2 linked regions of the Caenorhabditis elegans genome follow. The protein of the gene in region 2 interacts with the protein of the main gene of each other region in a pairwise test. Each region holds a gene or a part of one and is shown on either strand. Other genes may lie near its edges.

The links.
Region 1: the proteins of F57A10.4 (region 2) and F26A3.5 interact in a two-hybrid assay, tested with the Caenorhabditis elegans proteins (one large-scale study listed by BioGRID).

Annotation. Positions count from the first base shown.
Region 1 is NC_003279.8:7,663,095-7,671,617, forward strand, and holds F26A3.5 (DDE_Tnp_1_7 domain-containing protein), read left to right. Parts: upstream 1-4,634; coding exon 4,635-4,678; intron 4,679-5,442; coding exon 5,443-5,596; intron 5,597-5,648; coding exon 5,649-5,741; intron 5,742-5,810; coding exon 5,811-6,106; intron 6,107-6,198; coding exon 6,199-6,435; intron 6,436-6,486; coding exon 6,487-6,604; intron 6,605-6,649; coding exon 6,650-6,703; 3' UTR 6,704-6,806; downstream 6,807-8,523. Other genes in the region: del-3 (DEgenerin Like), read right to left, coding at 7,232-7,388, 7,432-7,574, 7,635-7,875, 8,225-8,409.
Region 2 is NC_003283.11:15,766,076-15,773,271, forward strand, and holds F57A10.4 (Sensor histidine kinase), read left to right. Parts: upstream 1-3,362; 5' UTR 3,363-3,364; coding exon 3,365-3,522; intron 3,523-3,565; coding exon 3,566-3,677; intron 3,678-3,720; coding exon 3,721-3,859; intron 3,860-3,908; coding exon 3,909-4,002; intron 4,003-4,050; coding exon 4,051-4,168; 3' UTR 4,169-4,285; downstream 4,286-7,196. Other genes in the region: haf-3 (ABC transmembrane type-1 domain-containing protein), read right to left, coding at 19-89; F57A10.2 (Major sperm protein), read left to right, coding at 500-517, 565-681, 734-1,022, 1,067-1,110; Nuclear hormone receptor family member nhr-60, read right to left, coding at 4,286-4,545, 5,412-5,518, 5,616-5,822, 5,877-5,980, 6,031-6,398, 6,811-7,045, 7,101-7,151.

The sequences.
Region 1 (8,523 bases), on a different chromosome or scaffold from region 2:
TGTACTGTGCACATTGCCCACCTGTTCCGGTCAAAAAGCACGTGAAAAAGCATATGGTGACTAGAAAATGTGGAGTGTAATCGTTGAATAATTGTGGAATAAGGGAATTTGTCGTTTCTAGGTCCATATCTATCTGAAAACAATGCACAATTTTGGGAATAAAAACATAATGAATTCACAATTAGAACTACATTTCAACTGTTAGGCTAATTAAAGGTTCATAATAACTTCAAAAAAAGACGTATCTATGCTATCTGAAAGCTTATGCTCCGACTATGTCTCTAAAAACGTCATCGCGGTGGAAATAAACTCTGAACTGAAACGTTCAGTTTAATACAGATCGTTAGATTCCACATTCTTATAAAGAGTAAAGCTATATCCTATTTTTGGAGGAGTTCCTTAACTCTTTCTAATCTTCATCCTTGTACTTCTGAACAGATTGATTTGTCAGAATATTATATGATAAACTTTTGATGTCTCATGTGTCAACATGTGCACCTCGTTCGAATGGACCTTGACCTGTGGGTGTTTGAAAGAGATAAAAAGTGATATTAAACATTTCTCGAGGCAAAGGAACGTTGTTTTCCTTCCTATTTTAAGAATTTCCTTCAAATACGTCTTGCCAACTTGATGTTCGTATCTAATTGAAGAAAAATGTGTAGTTAGCATGACCAACTGTCAAAGTTGGCGGGACAAATAACAATCAAAAGATCAGTAAAAGTGCTCACTTATAATTAGTAAGAAAAGACAAGAGTTAGAGATCCCACGTCCCAATATCAAGTTTCGAGCAAAAAGTGTTCTATGCTTTGAGTCATTTGGGATAAAGGAAGGAGCACATATTTCATGTGAAGAAGACATTCGCGTCTTTGAAAAATATTTAGAATAATATATCTGGTACGGGCGTCATAAAAGGATAGAAGAGGACAGTTCGAGATTATAGTAATGGAAATGGAAAGATCTTTGAATAGGGAATATTATTTGAAATCTGAAAAAAACGTATTTGTTTGCATATTTATTTGGGCATTTATATTAAATTTAAATATTTGTGATTCTTCCTCTCATTACCGCTCATTTTTCATTCTTCTTTTCCTGGCGACATTGTGAGTGTAGATTAAATAAATAGACCGAAAGATTTTTGATCAATTAAATTGAAGAGATAAGCAGGCGAGCTGATCAAGCTAGCAAGGAACATATGTCCTGTCATTTTCCTGATCGTTGAAATTTTTTTTGGAAATCTTGCAATTTTCAGGAAATTGCAATAACAAAAAAGTTTTACAAAAAAATGGTAAAGTATTCAATGGCAACTTGTAAGCATAAACAATATTTCCTCCAGTGGGGTTAATTTATCGTATTTGTGTAATTGACTCTTGTATTCTACGCCCTGGAAAATTTTACCAAGCAAAATGTAGCTGTTGAGCAACTAAACCATCTATCAACAATCTGGTGAATTCTAAAAACTTCCATTAAGGTTTTAAAGCAGTTCGCGCCAGAGTATTGTCAGCTCTTAGAAAATTGTGCCAAATACCGACGTAACTGGCGAAGAGTTGGGGAAAAGTGCAAGTGGGGAGCGGGCGACTAAAATTATTAAAGAAATAAATAAACTGGACTCCCAATCAGTTCTGTATTTACTTCCCGAATCTCTAAATTCATTCAGAGAAAATCCTCGTTCTCAAACAAGCCCAAGTTTATCTGGCGGAATATTCCAGAAAACATCAAGAAAAACATACTCTTTTGTTCAGAATTATTCTGATCAGCGACCGTCAATCTGTACTACGTTGAAAACATATGTTTTGATAGTAATTTCTAATTTTTAATTCATCAGTTATTTTCTTGTTCTATTTTTCGCAAAAATTAATAGACCAAATAGACCATCTATCAGTGTCTTTACGTCAAAAATGAATCGAATGTTGCGAATCAATGATTACCTGAAAAATAACACTTTCCCACTGCAATATTTCTGTTTTTCAAAGACACTGATTTTTCGTCTTTTTTTCTTTTTTTTGTTCTTTTTTATTTTCTGGTTTTCTGTTTTTCGATTCACTCTTTTGATAAACTATTTCAATATCAGCAGTGCATCTTCGTGTCCGAAAAGTTCACGAAAACATTTTTTGGAAGAAAACGATGTTTGATGTATACGTTGTAATTTTTAAAGATCACAATTTCTTCACATGAATTTCAGTTTTTCAGTTGTTTTTGAAATTTGATTCGACATAGTAAAGCAGCAAAATTTACTGCAACTAGTGAGAGGGCAATGAAGGATTCCAATATGAGAAAAGGGAACAACTGACTGGGGGTTCAGATACAGGAATAAGTATTTTTGCTACTAGAAAATACAAAAAATTTCAACGATCCAGGAAAAAGTTTCGAAAAACATTTTTTAACTGAAAAATTCGTCATTGAATGTTCAAAAATATTAGTTTTTTCTCGAGAATATTTTTTTGAAATGATCTCACATTGCTCTCAAATCAAAAAACTTCACAACAATTAATCACTTCCAAACCTGCATGTCTACTGCTAACTCGGCAAATCGCCGCAACTTATCCACCAACTTTAGAAACTTTAGAAATGCCAAGCGCAGAAGTTGCTAAAATTTGGTAAAAACGTTGCTAAAGTTGGGCAAATTAGGTTAAAGTCGGGGATACCCTCAAAATTTGCACTGAAAATTTTTTTAAGATTGGCTAAACTTGGTTAAAAAGTTGCTAAAGTCGGGAAAGAAGTTGCTAAAGACAGATTAAAAGTTGCGAGAATATAAAATTGGTAGAAAAGTTGCTAATGTTGGCGGATAAGTTGCGGAAGGGTAAAGTTGGCGCTTAAGTTGCTAAAGTTAAGTTGCTAAAGTTAAGATAAGTTGCGACGAATTGCCGAGTAAAGCACATGGAAAACATCACTTCGTTTCTCAATCGAACTTTCAGTGAATTAATCGAAATGATCAAATGACTATTAGGAAATTAGGAATGCGCACCAACGAAGCACTACAGAAAACAGGCGGGCCCGTAGGCAGGCAGGCACGAGGGAAGAAAAATAAACGTTCCTACAATGGAAGTTTCCATATTGAACATCCAAGATGAAAAATAAACTTTGTACATTAATCTGTACAAATGTTTGTACCAAATGGACCTTGACCTGGTGGGTGTTAGAAGATATGATGATACAAATGAAAAAATTCCCTGAAGCATTTGAACGTCACCCTAATGATATTTTATATATATTCAGTTGTTAATTCACAAGTCATCTTTCATATTTAAAAAAATTGACAATTGACAAAATGCTGCATTCCAGATTTTTGACAATTGACAAACAAGTGACTCACAACTTTTCATGAAACAAAGTTTAGAAAGAAAATAATTTCCACGAATTTTTCTACATTTTACAATGTGTTTCTTTGCCCGAAAATGCCCGGGAACATTCATATAAAAGATTAAACCTACAATAGAAGGGTATGAACTGGCAACATTTTCTCATAATGCAAGCAATATAATTTTGAAATCAAATTCTGAGTTTAAAAAATTGTATGCTTGTTAAAACTATTTACATTTTGAGTTTTTCATGTGAAATGCGCCCATTTCTGCAACTGCCGCACGGTTTTGAAACTGTATTTTTCTTGTTAATTCTCGCTCTATTGAGAAAAATACAGTTTCGAAACCGTGCGCAGTTGCAGAAATGGCGTATTGCAAGCCACGGTTCTGTGGGCGGGCCAATCCCCCGAGTTGTAATCCCCCCAATTGACATCCCCCGAGTTCTTCGGGTCTCAATAAATCTATTTTTAAAAAATTCTTGGTTGGAGGTTTTGGGTTTTAACCTTCGTTACTTCTGGTAAAGAAGCTACGTGAAGAAATAAACTTGTTGGGAATTGTGGAGTTGTGAAAACTATGAGCCACATCACCCTAGAACTGGATTTATGCAAAAACGCGTGCATGACGCATTGAATATAAAAATTGTCTCAAAATAGTAGGTGAAAATCATAACAGTCTTTAGGGAAACTTTTCATGAGGACAAAAAAACCGTATTTTGGTAATATAACAATCAGGGCTGCCCGGCATACCGAATGAAAATCTGAACCATCAATCTATGAAAGTCTGCAATCGAGCAGTGAATTTTTGAATAAAAATCGTCATTTCATGAAGCATACTTGTTTATTACTGCATTAAATCCCGTATAACATAAACCTTAATTTGAAGCATGTTTGAGCTTTAAGTACTCTTTTAAGCCAAATTGAGTTTATCAAATACAGTCAAACCCAGTTTGGCGAAGGCGAATGTCGAATTTTCGCGTTCACCGCACAGCCCTGGATAGTTTGTTTGATTAAAGTTGTACACCTCTGCTGAACAATGTGTTGAAGATGGGATGCTGAAATAAACAAGTTTTGCTATTTACATATTTAAAATGTTCATAATTTTCCAAATTTTTGCGCGCTGTTTTCTCAAACTACTGTCAAACTACAAACTACTGTCATACTACTGTTTTGAACATTCCGTAAGAAATTTTTCGTAAGAAATTTAAGAAATTTTTCATTTTAACATTGAAAAAAAAAAACAAAAATTTTGTTTAGATGGAAAAAATTACGCCGAGGCATAGGTCAAGGTCGCATACACGACAAAAGGTCACATACACAAGAAAAAAACAAATACTCCGGAATGAGTTATTTCGAACATTTTTCCGCCGCTCGCACATTCTCAAGGTTAGTATCATTTTTGGATGAGTCTACGTGCACCAACACAATTAAATCGCGGTTTTTATATTGTACATACCTTCAGACATACAAAAGGCACATTCGCAAAGTACAAACGTATATAAATTATAAATCGCGATTTGTGGCTTGCACAAGTTTTCGATCGCGATTCATGTATAATACGCAAATAATACATGCACATTCGCAAAAGGTGTATTGTACGCAAATTACCGTATTTCTTCTATCAGCATGGTTGCAATACTGTTTTTCGAAGGTCATCCCGCTTGCCATATATTTTTTTTCTATTAGGGAGTGCAAGACTAACTAATAAGGAGAGGTTTTTTGTACAACACATAATCAGCGAATCAATTGTGAAAGTAAATCTCAGAAGAACAACATCTTTGAAGATGGCAAAGGGAACATCAAAGTTGAAACTTACTTCTCAAAAAATGTGGAACTGCAAAGTGACAATTTTTTCAAAAAGTTCATAAATCTAATTATTCCATCGGTATATCTTCAAAAAAAACCATTCGTTTCTCTTGGTTTTTTGTTTTTTTGAAGGTTCGATAAGTAGCAGAAAACACTTTCAGGCAGTTTTTGTTGCAATTTTATCTCTTCTCTTAATCTCTCTTAATCTTAATCCTCAATTCTCTTAATCTCTTAATCTTAATCTCTTGTTCATGAACAAATGAAAGAATATTCAAACTATAAATAAATTGGATGGTCAAATAATTAATTAGTACATCACCTGAAACAATTTATGTATTGTTCAGCTCAGCAACTATGTCAAGAGATCGGCCGAATAAGATTAAACTTCCACACCGACCAGGCTACACAACTTACCTGCAAACAGGAGATCTCACGTCTACCGACGGAGAAGAGGGCGTTTATTCGCTGAAACTTATTACAGGATATACACGTGAAGAAGTCAGTTTTCAACAAGCACCACATATTACAGCTCATATTTTTAATGTTTCAGCCCGAAATTCTTGATGATGTTCTGGATCCATCTGGTGGTTCTTCAAGCAGTCAAAGATCTAATGATCCACTCTTGCCAGCCAGTACCAACCATGTGAGTCTAATTTCTTATAGTAAAAGTTATAAATGTGTAACTGTCAATTTCATATTTTTAATGTTTCAGCCCGAAATTTTTGATGATGTTCTGGATCCATCTGGTGGTTCTTCAAGCAGTCAAAGATCTAATGATCCACTCTTGCCAGCCAGTACCTTCAAACTTAGTTGTGTCGACTGCAAAAAACAATACAATGTTTCAAAATCAATGAAGAGTCAGGCTCGTAAGCGTAAAATTCGACAAGATATGGAAGCAGAAGACGATATGCTTGATGGAACTGGACTGCATCGAATGGCTCTTGTGAACGTGAACACCACTATGCCACAGGAAGCAAAAGCACTGGAGGAATTGTCGAAAAAACTGGTGTAAGTGAGAAAAACTCGTCTAGTTAGTATAGTTCGATTAACTATTCAATTCTATGGAAATTAACTATTTTCATGAATTCATACATTTTCAGAATCAGCGCAACATTGACTGGATATGATTCTGTTCCCATCAATACGCCAAGCAAAAGTCCCCAAGTTCTTTATTTCCAAGTAAAAACACATGCGGAGTTCGATTTGGTTCAAGAAAAGATGGACAAAAACTTCATTTCTCAACTTGAAATCGAGTCACTTGTGAAGAGCAACGAACCTTTCCTATTTCCGTATGGAAGAAGAAGACACGTCTTCACAAGCATCTTATTGGCTACATAGTAAGATTCAACCATTTCCTTGCTGTTAATATAATTAAATATAAATTGCAGCTTGAGCTTGTGTTCTGATGAAGCAAACAATATTGATGACTGGAAGGATCTTCTTCGAAATAATGCGATCATCAAAAAAGCTGTCGAACACAGTGACACAATGCAAAAAATGAAAAAAGTGAGTCATATAATCGTAATTAGGTTAAAAAATATAATATTTCAGTATTTGTCAGTGGACGGACGAACTATGCTCAATTTTTATAAGGAGACTCTTTAAGTCCTGTGATTCCTGCCCAACAACTCGCAATGAAGAAACAACTACTCGTCGTAAACTTGATCTAGCTATGTTTTAGGTGCTCATGAATGAATGATTTTTGAATATTTTTTCAGCATTTAGACAAACATAAAACAGGCAAACAGGGCACATGAAAAGTCGATGAAATTTGATTTCCAACCTTAATTTAATTTCTTTCTTGCAAGTTATAGAAACTGTTCCATCTCCTTCTCTGCTTCATCTACTCATCTCTGTCATAACTGATCATATTTTGAAAAAGAAATTCACGTGAATTCATCATGATCTGTTTGCTCCTCCGTTTCCCCGTTGTCTCGAATGTTGATCATGAAAAAAACGACGGGATTCGTATTTATTTTTATTTGCACAAAACATGAAGAAAGACTCAGAGAACCGGAGTATTTGGGAGGAAATTGGTAAAAAGAGAGAACAGGAGCAAAACAGTTGTAAGAGATCGAGATATACATAAAATTGAGTGATTGAAATTTCACAAAAATTCGAAAATAAAAATAATTATGTGTCTCCTGAAGCTACATCTTGACTTGGCCGATGCTCGACGACAATTGGTTCTGGTGACGAAACACTACGTTTCCGGCGGATTTCAGGTGATATTCTATTTGATGATTGACGTTTTGGACAACATAACCCAGTTGCATACCAAAACATTGACCTGAAATTATAAAAAGTAGAAAGAAAATAAATTTTCCAAGTACCATAAAATATGCCCAACTGTAAACCATAGAGCCATATTGTATCCAATAAAACTCAAAAGTTCATAGATATTTGGATCTTTGGAGACCAGAATTTCTGTTGTTCTCATAGTACTGTACTCCAAAACCAAACGGGAAACATAATCCTGAAAAATGCTAACTTGAATAAACATTTCTACAATATAATCTGTAATTTTACAACTTACCTGAGTGGTTCTGTATTCTTCCGGAAGATCATATCCTTCAATTGTTCCTGGATATGAAGTGATCAAACAACTTCTCTGATTATCATTTCTACATTTCTTTGCGTCTTCATAACCAGGAAGATCCTTTGGAATATCTTCTTCCCAATTTTCAATTCTCGTCAGATCTATGTAACGGCGAGCACAGTTGTCATAGGCATCAACGCTGCACACACTTGTTTGGGTTACTCGCAGCAAGAAATCACTGAAATTTATACTAATTTTTGAAGTCGGGAATTTTCAAAAAGTGGTGTAACGAATCACTGTTATGTTCCAATACTAAAAATGGCACAGAAAAGGCAGAATTTAATAACAAAAAATCTTGAAAATTGAGATGGTTGCTCGGACGTTCTACCACTTTGTATGAGGTTCTCAAACTTTATAATTATTTTCTGAGAAATTAGTTACTAGGCATAAAAATTGAAATTCAACAGTATCCATGTACCAGTACAGTTCCAATACACCAACACTTCTACAGTAATCCTTCAGCAATCAGACACCACACCCAGTAATCGAACATTTCATTCATTTTAGAAATTTGGAAATAAACTCACCGATAAGACGATGGGTCGTAATGAATAAGTTCAGCCATAAGTGGATGACAACTACAATATCTCATTGCCACCAACATATTACACATTAGATAATTGGTATGATTGTTCTTGAATGCATGTTCATCGCTTCTACGTGCATCTCCTAACGCGTATCCACAAGAAGTACGTCTGATATCGGCCTTTTTCTGAAATTTTTTTAAAATTAATGTGCACGAGTTTAGAAAAATCCTGATTTTCTAAAGTTACTCTGAAAAAATGTTTTAGCCCCCTACACCTCACAGGCTTTGTTTTGAGCCCCC
Region 2 (7,196 bases):
AAAGACACAACTAATTACCTGGTTGAGCTAGAAGGTATTGAAGAACATTTCGAACAACATAACCGGCTCAAATGTGATAAAAGTGACATGTGGAAAGCTGAAAAACTTGAAAATGACGCAATTATCTTCAAAACAGACAAAAATTTACAAGATTTTAATTGAATTAGTGAAAAACTAATCTGAAATTTATATTTTCCACAAATTAAATCGAAAATATGGTAAATTTTCCGGTAAAAACGAATTAAAAACGTGGAATTTTTCTGAAAATTCATTAAAAATGCGAGAAAATCGAGAGATGCGCCAGAGGGGCTGCTGGCGCATTTCCAGTTTTGCTGGCGCATATCTCGATATTGGAGGGAATTCAAATATGTTTTTGGAAAATTGAAATTTTTGAGGGGGATTCACGAATTAGTTGATGGAAAACGTGAATTTCAATTGGACCACAACAATTACAATTACAAATAAAAGAAAAACAACGTTTTTCTTTTATTTAACAATTATGAAGCTGGCAGCAAAGGTGAGTTTTTTCAATGTTTGTGTTTAAATCTACCAAATTTCCATCAGACCTTCACACCAAGCACCGCAGATCTTCCCTTCACAGATGCAGGTGCGAGCGAAGACTCGGGTATGGCCAATAAGCCCGGTGAGCCCGCTTTCCAGTTGTGGCTCGACGTGAAAAAGGTGTGAAAATGAGGTTCCCATGAGAATGGATTGGATAAAATCTTTATTCCAGGTGGTATTTCCAACCACTTCAGAACCATCCTATGTGAATCTCCGACTTCACAATCCGACAGACAAGAGAATCACATTCAAAGTTCGTTGCACTTCAGCGGAGCTGTTCCGTGTTCAACCGCCGATTGCATTCATCAATGCCGGTGCAACTGTCAATCTTGTGATGTGGAGCGCCAACACCCACCTGCAGCCGGAGAAGAAGCATTATTTCGCATTTTACCACAAAAATGCGTCTCCGAGTGCTCGTCAGTCTCCGCCACTATGGAAGGATGGGCTGAAAGACGCGGAAGGTGCGGCTGGCATAGAATTTTCAGAAAAAAATCTTTAATTTCAGGAGTTCGTCGTATCCCTGTCGTCTTCCTTCCTCCATCATCGTAGAAAGGAACGCTAATAAGAATTTTTACATTGAATTTAACGATCTAAAATTCATTTTTTGTAAATGCCACCAAATAAAACGTTCACTTGTGTTTTATGGATTTCGAAAGCGATTTATGAAAAATTATCGTTCTTTATCACGTAAACAGTCACAGGCAAAGCGGAAAGTGCCCAAAACGGTCCGTTCATGGACCGGGAACGGCTCAAATTTAAGAACGGTTCACGGTTCGATTCCCGGTCCGTCAACGGACCGTAATTGAACCGTAAGGAGACTAAAAAATTGGAAAATTTTTTCACCCTCCAGCTGCCCCCTTTTTCTTTCCCAATGCTCCACCGAGCTCCGGTCTTGCTCCAGACCGTCTTCCGGTGATCCTTCGTTGTAGCAATTCTATCTGCCTCAGCCGGTGTTGAACTTGTCCTCTGCCTGTCGATTGATTACTGGCCCATCACCTTACCATTTGGCCGTTCGCGCACGCGAGGAAAATCAATGGACTTCGCATAAATAGCGATCAGCTTGCGCTCGCGCATTTTCTTCTGGTTTTCACGTCTTACACCAACTTTTTCGATTGTATTTTCAGTAGTTTCTGATTCTCCATCTTGCCGTTGGACTTATATGAAAGCGAACGATAACAATTGACAGTTTCGTGTAGTTCAGAACTTATTTCGCATATTTCTTAACATCTACCTATACGTGCTCCATCTACTTGTAATATAGAAGTGGTACTTACCATATTTCCTCCATTAGTCTTGCATGCAAGATTAATTTTCGATTGGACCGGGTTGCAATACTAATAGAGGAAATAAGGTATATGCGTTCTACTTGAATGATACCTTAATTTCTTAAAATACACACGGAACAGAAACGATATGATTCCAGAATGTATTGTTAGTAAAATATTTTATGATATTTCAAAAAATGCTCCTGTTGCTCAGCTGAAGAAGACCAGCAGAGAGAGTGAACGTTGCGTATACACAGTATCTACCCAATTGTGGCATTTCATCTTTTTTATTGATATGTTTATAGGATTACATTAATATAACCTCTTTTACACACAATGTCATGCTTAATAGCCTCAGTTAGATCGCATGCGATTACGGGCCGCGTACGGACCAGTTGGACGGATGATAGACAAAATGGTTGCCCAGAGGAATTTTTTTTTCATGAAAATTGAGTTTTTGAAGTACCCACAATGCTATTTGGTCCATTGTAGCCAGTTGGCTAATTTTTTGCCGGATTCAAGGTTTAGTTTTAAAAAGTGCAGTTTTGCCGACGGGGACGGTTAATTTACGGACCATCTACGGACCGGCTACGGCCGAACTACGGATGATCACCAAAACGGAGGATAATACGAAACATTTTTTTCATGAAAATGGAGTTTTTGACGTGCCTACACTCTCCTTTGGCTAATTTGAGCACTTTTTCCGTGCTAGAACCTGAAATTTTCAAAAACAAAAATTTGATGCCCGGGACGGTTCATTTACGGTCCGTCTACGGGCCGGCGACGGACCGTCTACGGACCGGAAACGGCCCAACTACGGCTCAAGAGCCATCTCGGTCGGTAAATGTGGTTTTTGCTCTAAATAATGCATTTAACGACGTAAAAATGCTTGAATTAGCCAACTGGTATCATAGGTATTAAAAAATTCGTTTTCTTAAAATCCATTTTTTCCTCTTAATGGCCATTTTTTACATTCCCCGTAGTTTGCCCGTAATTGGTCCGTCCCGCTTTTCATATCCGTAGTTCGCCCGTTAATGGTCCGTTCCCGGTCCAAGATCCGTAAACGGACCGTACCCGCTTTGCCTGTGAGTGTGAAAAAAAGACATTGAAGCTTAATGTTCTGAAAATGCATATTAAAAGAAATATTTTTCCGGGAGCCATCAGACATTGAGGAACGAGAAACTCCAGAGAATTCAAATTTGTGGAAAAGTAGGCGGAGTCCATCTTTCAGGTTTATCAGTTCAACCAGTAATTACATGAAACAAGCACAAAAAAGAAGGTCTTCATTTTTTTTGTTGTAAATCTTAACATTCTGTTGTTTTTGAAAAATAATGTAAAGGAGCTCCACCCATTTTCTCACCAGCATGAAAGTTGGGAAAACAATTGTCACGTGACGTGTCTGATGCAGTCGCGCCCAACTGATAAAGTGTTCCGGCGCCAATGTTTTTTTTTTCAATTTAAATTTTAAAATTAATAATTTTTATCAATTTCCATTTTTTTAACGCATTTTTCATACGAAAAACAAAAAATTTTCAGACATGAGTTATCGGATACGCTTTTCCCTAATACCAGTTGGCGTTGCCCTGATTGCTGTACTTCTGAAGGCATCAGGATGGACTCTTTATCGAAAGAATATGGCGTTTGAACGAGTCGATAAGCAGATTCAAATGGATATTGAACGGCTTTTTCTAAATACGTAGGTTATAATAACATGAAACGTTTTAGAAATTGATTTTGAGATTGTCAAGGCTTGCGGATTTCAATATGGACTTGCCGGAAAAAATCACGATTCTAAAAATGGAAAACGAAGAGGGAAATACATTCAGCGAACCGTTTCTCGTCGGCAATTCGGTTAGAAGAATGCCTAAATAATATTTAAAATGGAAATTCTCAGTGGGAAGTTCGCGCCTATCATTATGCTGGTGAAGGACTTTCAAAATGGTGCTCAGGATTCGCTTCGAGGACTACTCGACAGTATTTTGATTACAAAAATCGGCGAATCGATGTGACGTTCGACTGCAACTCCAAAAATGGTTTTTTGCTAGTAGTATTAGTATTAAAATTATTTTAAAAATTTTCCAGTTTTTCCTCCTCTTCGAACAATCATCGGCGCCGTTCTAACTGGAATGTTCTTCATCGCGACGCTTTTGGTTTTCAGATTGTTTTCAGCAAGATTGTAGGATTTTTTTCAGAAAATATCTGTTAAAATGTTCATATTTTTCAGTCAAATTCGTAGTGGTGCTACCATGGATGCAAAAGAAACACCGATTTCCTTCGAAGAATCGTTTTTGGAAATAATCGAAAAATGGGATTCTGCAAATATCGATTCCGGTTTTGAATAACTCACATATGTACTTATTTGTGTGTGTAATTTTTATTGATTTTTGTTAACTAATATGTACATTTCCCATTTATTCACTTTTATTCTCACTAGTGAGAGAACTCGAATTATTAAATATTTACGAGTCCATTATATCTTCTATAACTCGCATTACAAGATCCTTTGGCAATTTCGCTACTTTCGGAGCCACGAGAAGTAGATGCAAATCCTTTTGCATTCTCTGCTGACGTTCGAGAACATCAATAATTTGAATTAATTGGGCGAAATGCGGGGGACCATCAGACCGGCTTCGGAGACAATAATTAAAAAGAGCATCTGCATATTTTACTCGCTCCAGTGAGATGATTTCCTGGGATTTGGCGGAGAGATCGGGGACGGCTGGAAAATTCCCTTTCCCCTTTAAATGTTGCGATTTCTGAAGCTCTACTACGGTACCAGGTACACGAGATAAAATATTCAAACGATTTTTAATTCGTTATTTTTTAATTTTCGTAAAAAAAGGTTTCTAAAAAAGGATCGATAAAATTGCGAACAAACAAGGAAATATTACAAAACCCTAAAATTGTGAGAATGCGTATTGCGCAACATATTTGACGCACAAAATATCTCGTAGCGAAAACTACAGAAATACTTTAGAAGACTTGTCGATTTACGGGCTCGATTTTTGAAAAGCAACAAATGGAGGCCCCACGAAAAGGGGAGCAGAACGAAAAGGGGATCTGCAAAAAGGGGATCTGCGAAAAGGGGAGATACGAAAAGGGGAGATACGAAAAGGGGAGCAACGAAAAGGGGAGCTGGCACTGTGCCAAACGCACAAAACGCAATTTTTCTCACGCAACGCACGTTGTTTTTTGAAATTTTCTTCTAGAAGATACGCTTAACAACACGCGATGCGTAACATCGGAGCATCGTTGTATCGTTTTCTTCGAGAAAAATAGCGTTTGGCACAGTGCCAGATCCCCTTTTCGTATCTCCCCTTTTTGCAGATCCCCTTTTCGTTCTGCTCCCCTTTTCGTGGGGCCTCAACAAATGAGTCGAGCCCGTAAATCGACAAAAGTGCTACAGTAGTCATCTAAAGTATTGCTGTAGTTTTCACTACGAAATATTTTGTGCGTCAAATATGTTGCGCAATACGCATTCTCAGAGTTTTATGTTCCCGTAATATAAAAAAATACTTTTTTGCAGCTTATCCCAAAAACCTTCGGTCGTGTCGAGACCGTATTATTGCATCGCAAAATAATTACCTGGATTACATAATACAATGGCTTTCAGTAACAAATATTCAATATTTTTAATTTGACAACGGATCAACGGTGCAACAGACATCACAGAAGCCGAATAATGGGTATCGCTGAAAATATTCAAGATTTTTTTTTCAGAATTAACTATTCGCTGCAAAAGTAATTGTACACTTCTCCTCGAGCAGTACGCGTAAAGCCAGGACTCACTTGAAAGTCATGGGTTCCGATCCGTCAGGCTCAATGATAACCTCTAAATTCCTTCTAATCGATGAGTACGAGATATGAAGGTTCGTACAAGCCAATGCCACGTGCCTAGTTAGAATCAGCTTGTCTCGAGAGCTGAGTCGATGAAAGAACATGAACGTTTTGGCGTATTCGACAGTTGTCAGTAAATTGTAGAAGAACCATTGTTTTCTGAACAATAGAACAAATTTCGTGTGAAAGTGGTGAATTTCCAGTTCAACTTACATGTTTTGACTGTGTTGTGAGTCTCTCGGTTTCCCTGGGGATGGTGGTTTCGGTAGTCTTGGCGGACCTAGCTGATCCCTTCGAAGAGGCCATCCGGGCATAGGCTGAAATTTGAACAGGATTGAAGAATATGCATAAATCATTTTCAACTTACCCCGAATCTATCGCCAAATCCGATCCTACACTCCGACTCCAGCAGGTACTCCAGCCCGCTGAACTCATTCCAATGCGGGTTATACGCGGATTTTCGAAATCTTTCAACTTTTGTCTCCAAGTAAACCAGCATGTCGGTTATGTTTTGCATTTTGCTTTCTATAGAATCGACTGGTTTTACAATTTGCATTTTATTAACAACAGCCGTCACTTGACAGTCATCATCCGGCTCTAGATCCTGCGCTCGTTTCACTAGTTTCTTAAAGTTTGACGACGACGCTGCTTTCTCATCAACTTCCATTGCAAGGGGGTTCATTCCGACAGATATGCATTTTTGATGGCGGCATGCACGGCATTTTAGAGGCACTTCTGAAAATGTAGATCAACTAAGTTTTTATAAGAGCTGGAAAGGACTTGGGTTCGGTAATTAGACAAAATAGTATGTTTCGTACTTCAACCAGTATTGTTTTGCTAGTAGCTAATTTAACTGAACACGTGGTGTCCAAGTGTCTCATTTCGGCTTGATCTACGTAGATCTACAAAAAATGCGGGAGATGAGACGCAGAGTTCTCAACTGATTTCGTATGGTTAAGTACGTGCTGACGTAACATATTTTTGAGCAAAAAAATTGTCGCATTTTTTGTAGATCAAACCGTGATGGGACAGTCTGGCACCGTTGGGCCATAAGCTAGACATGTATCAAAAGTTTCGAAAGATTCGTATGGACATTCCGTATTTTCTAAAAAGGTTTTTGGAAAATCGGCACAGCTCTATTCCTTACTTCGTTTTGTTAAATCAAAACAATCTCCTTTTGCTTTACATTCGAAACTCCGATCTGACACGCACATTCTTCGGAAAAACGTCTTGCATCCATTGCACGATGCCACGTCATAGTGATGACCATTTGCTGAGTTTCCACAAATCAGGCATTCAGTTGGGCGTTGGGGTTTTGTTGATTTTACAGCAGTAGGCGACGGCTCGTCTTCAGGTTCGTCAGCAGAGAAAGTTGAAAGAATCTAAATGTTAGTTTTTTTATTGTCAAAAATATTGGTCTAAAATGAAACAACTTACGCTTGGAAGATCTAGGGAATCTTGGCTTATTGAAGAACTGGATTGAATCATATGGACCTACAAATTCTGGAATTAGATTATTTGGAATAATAGTTA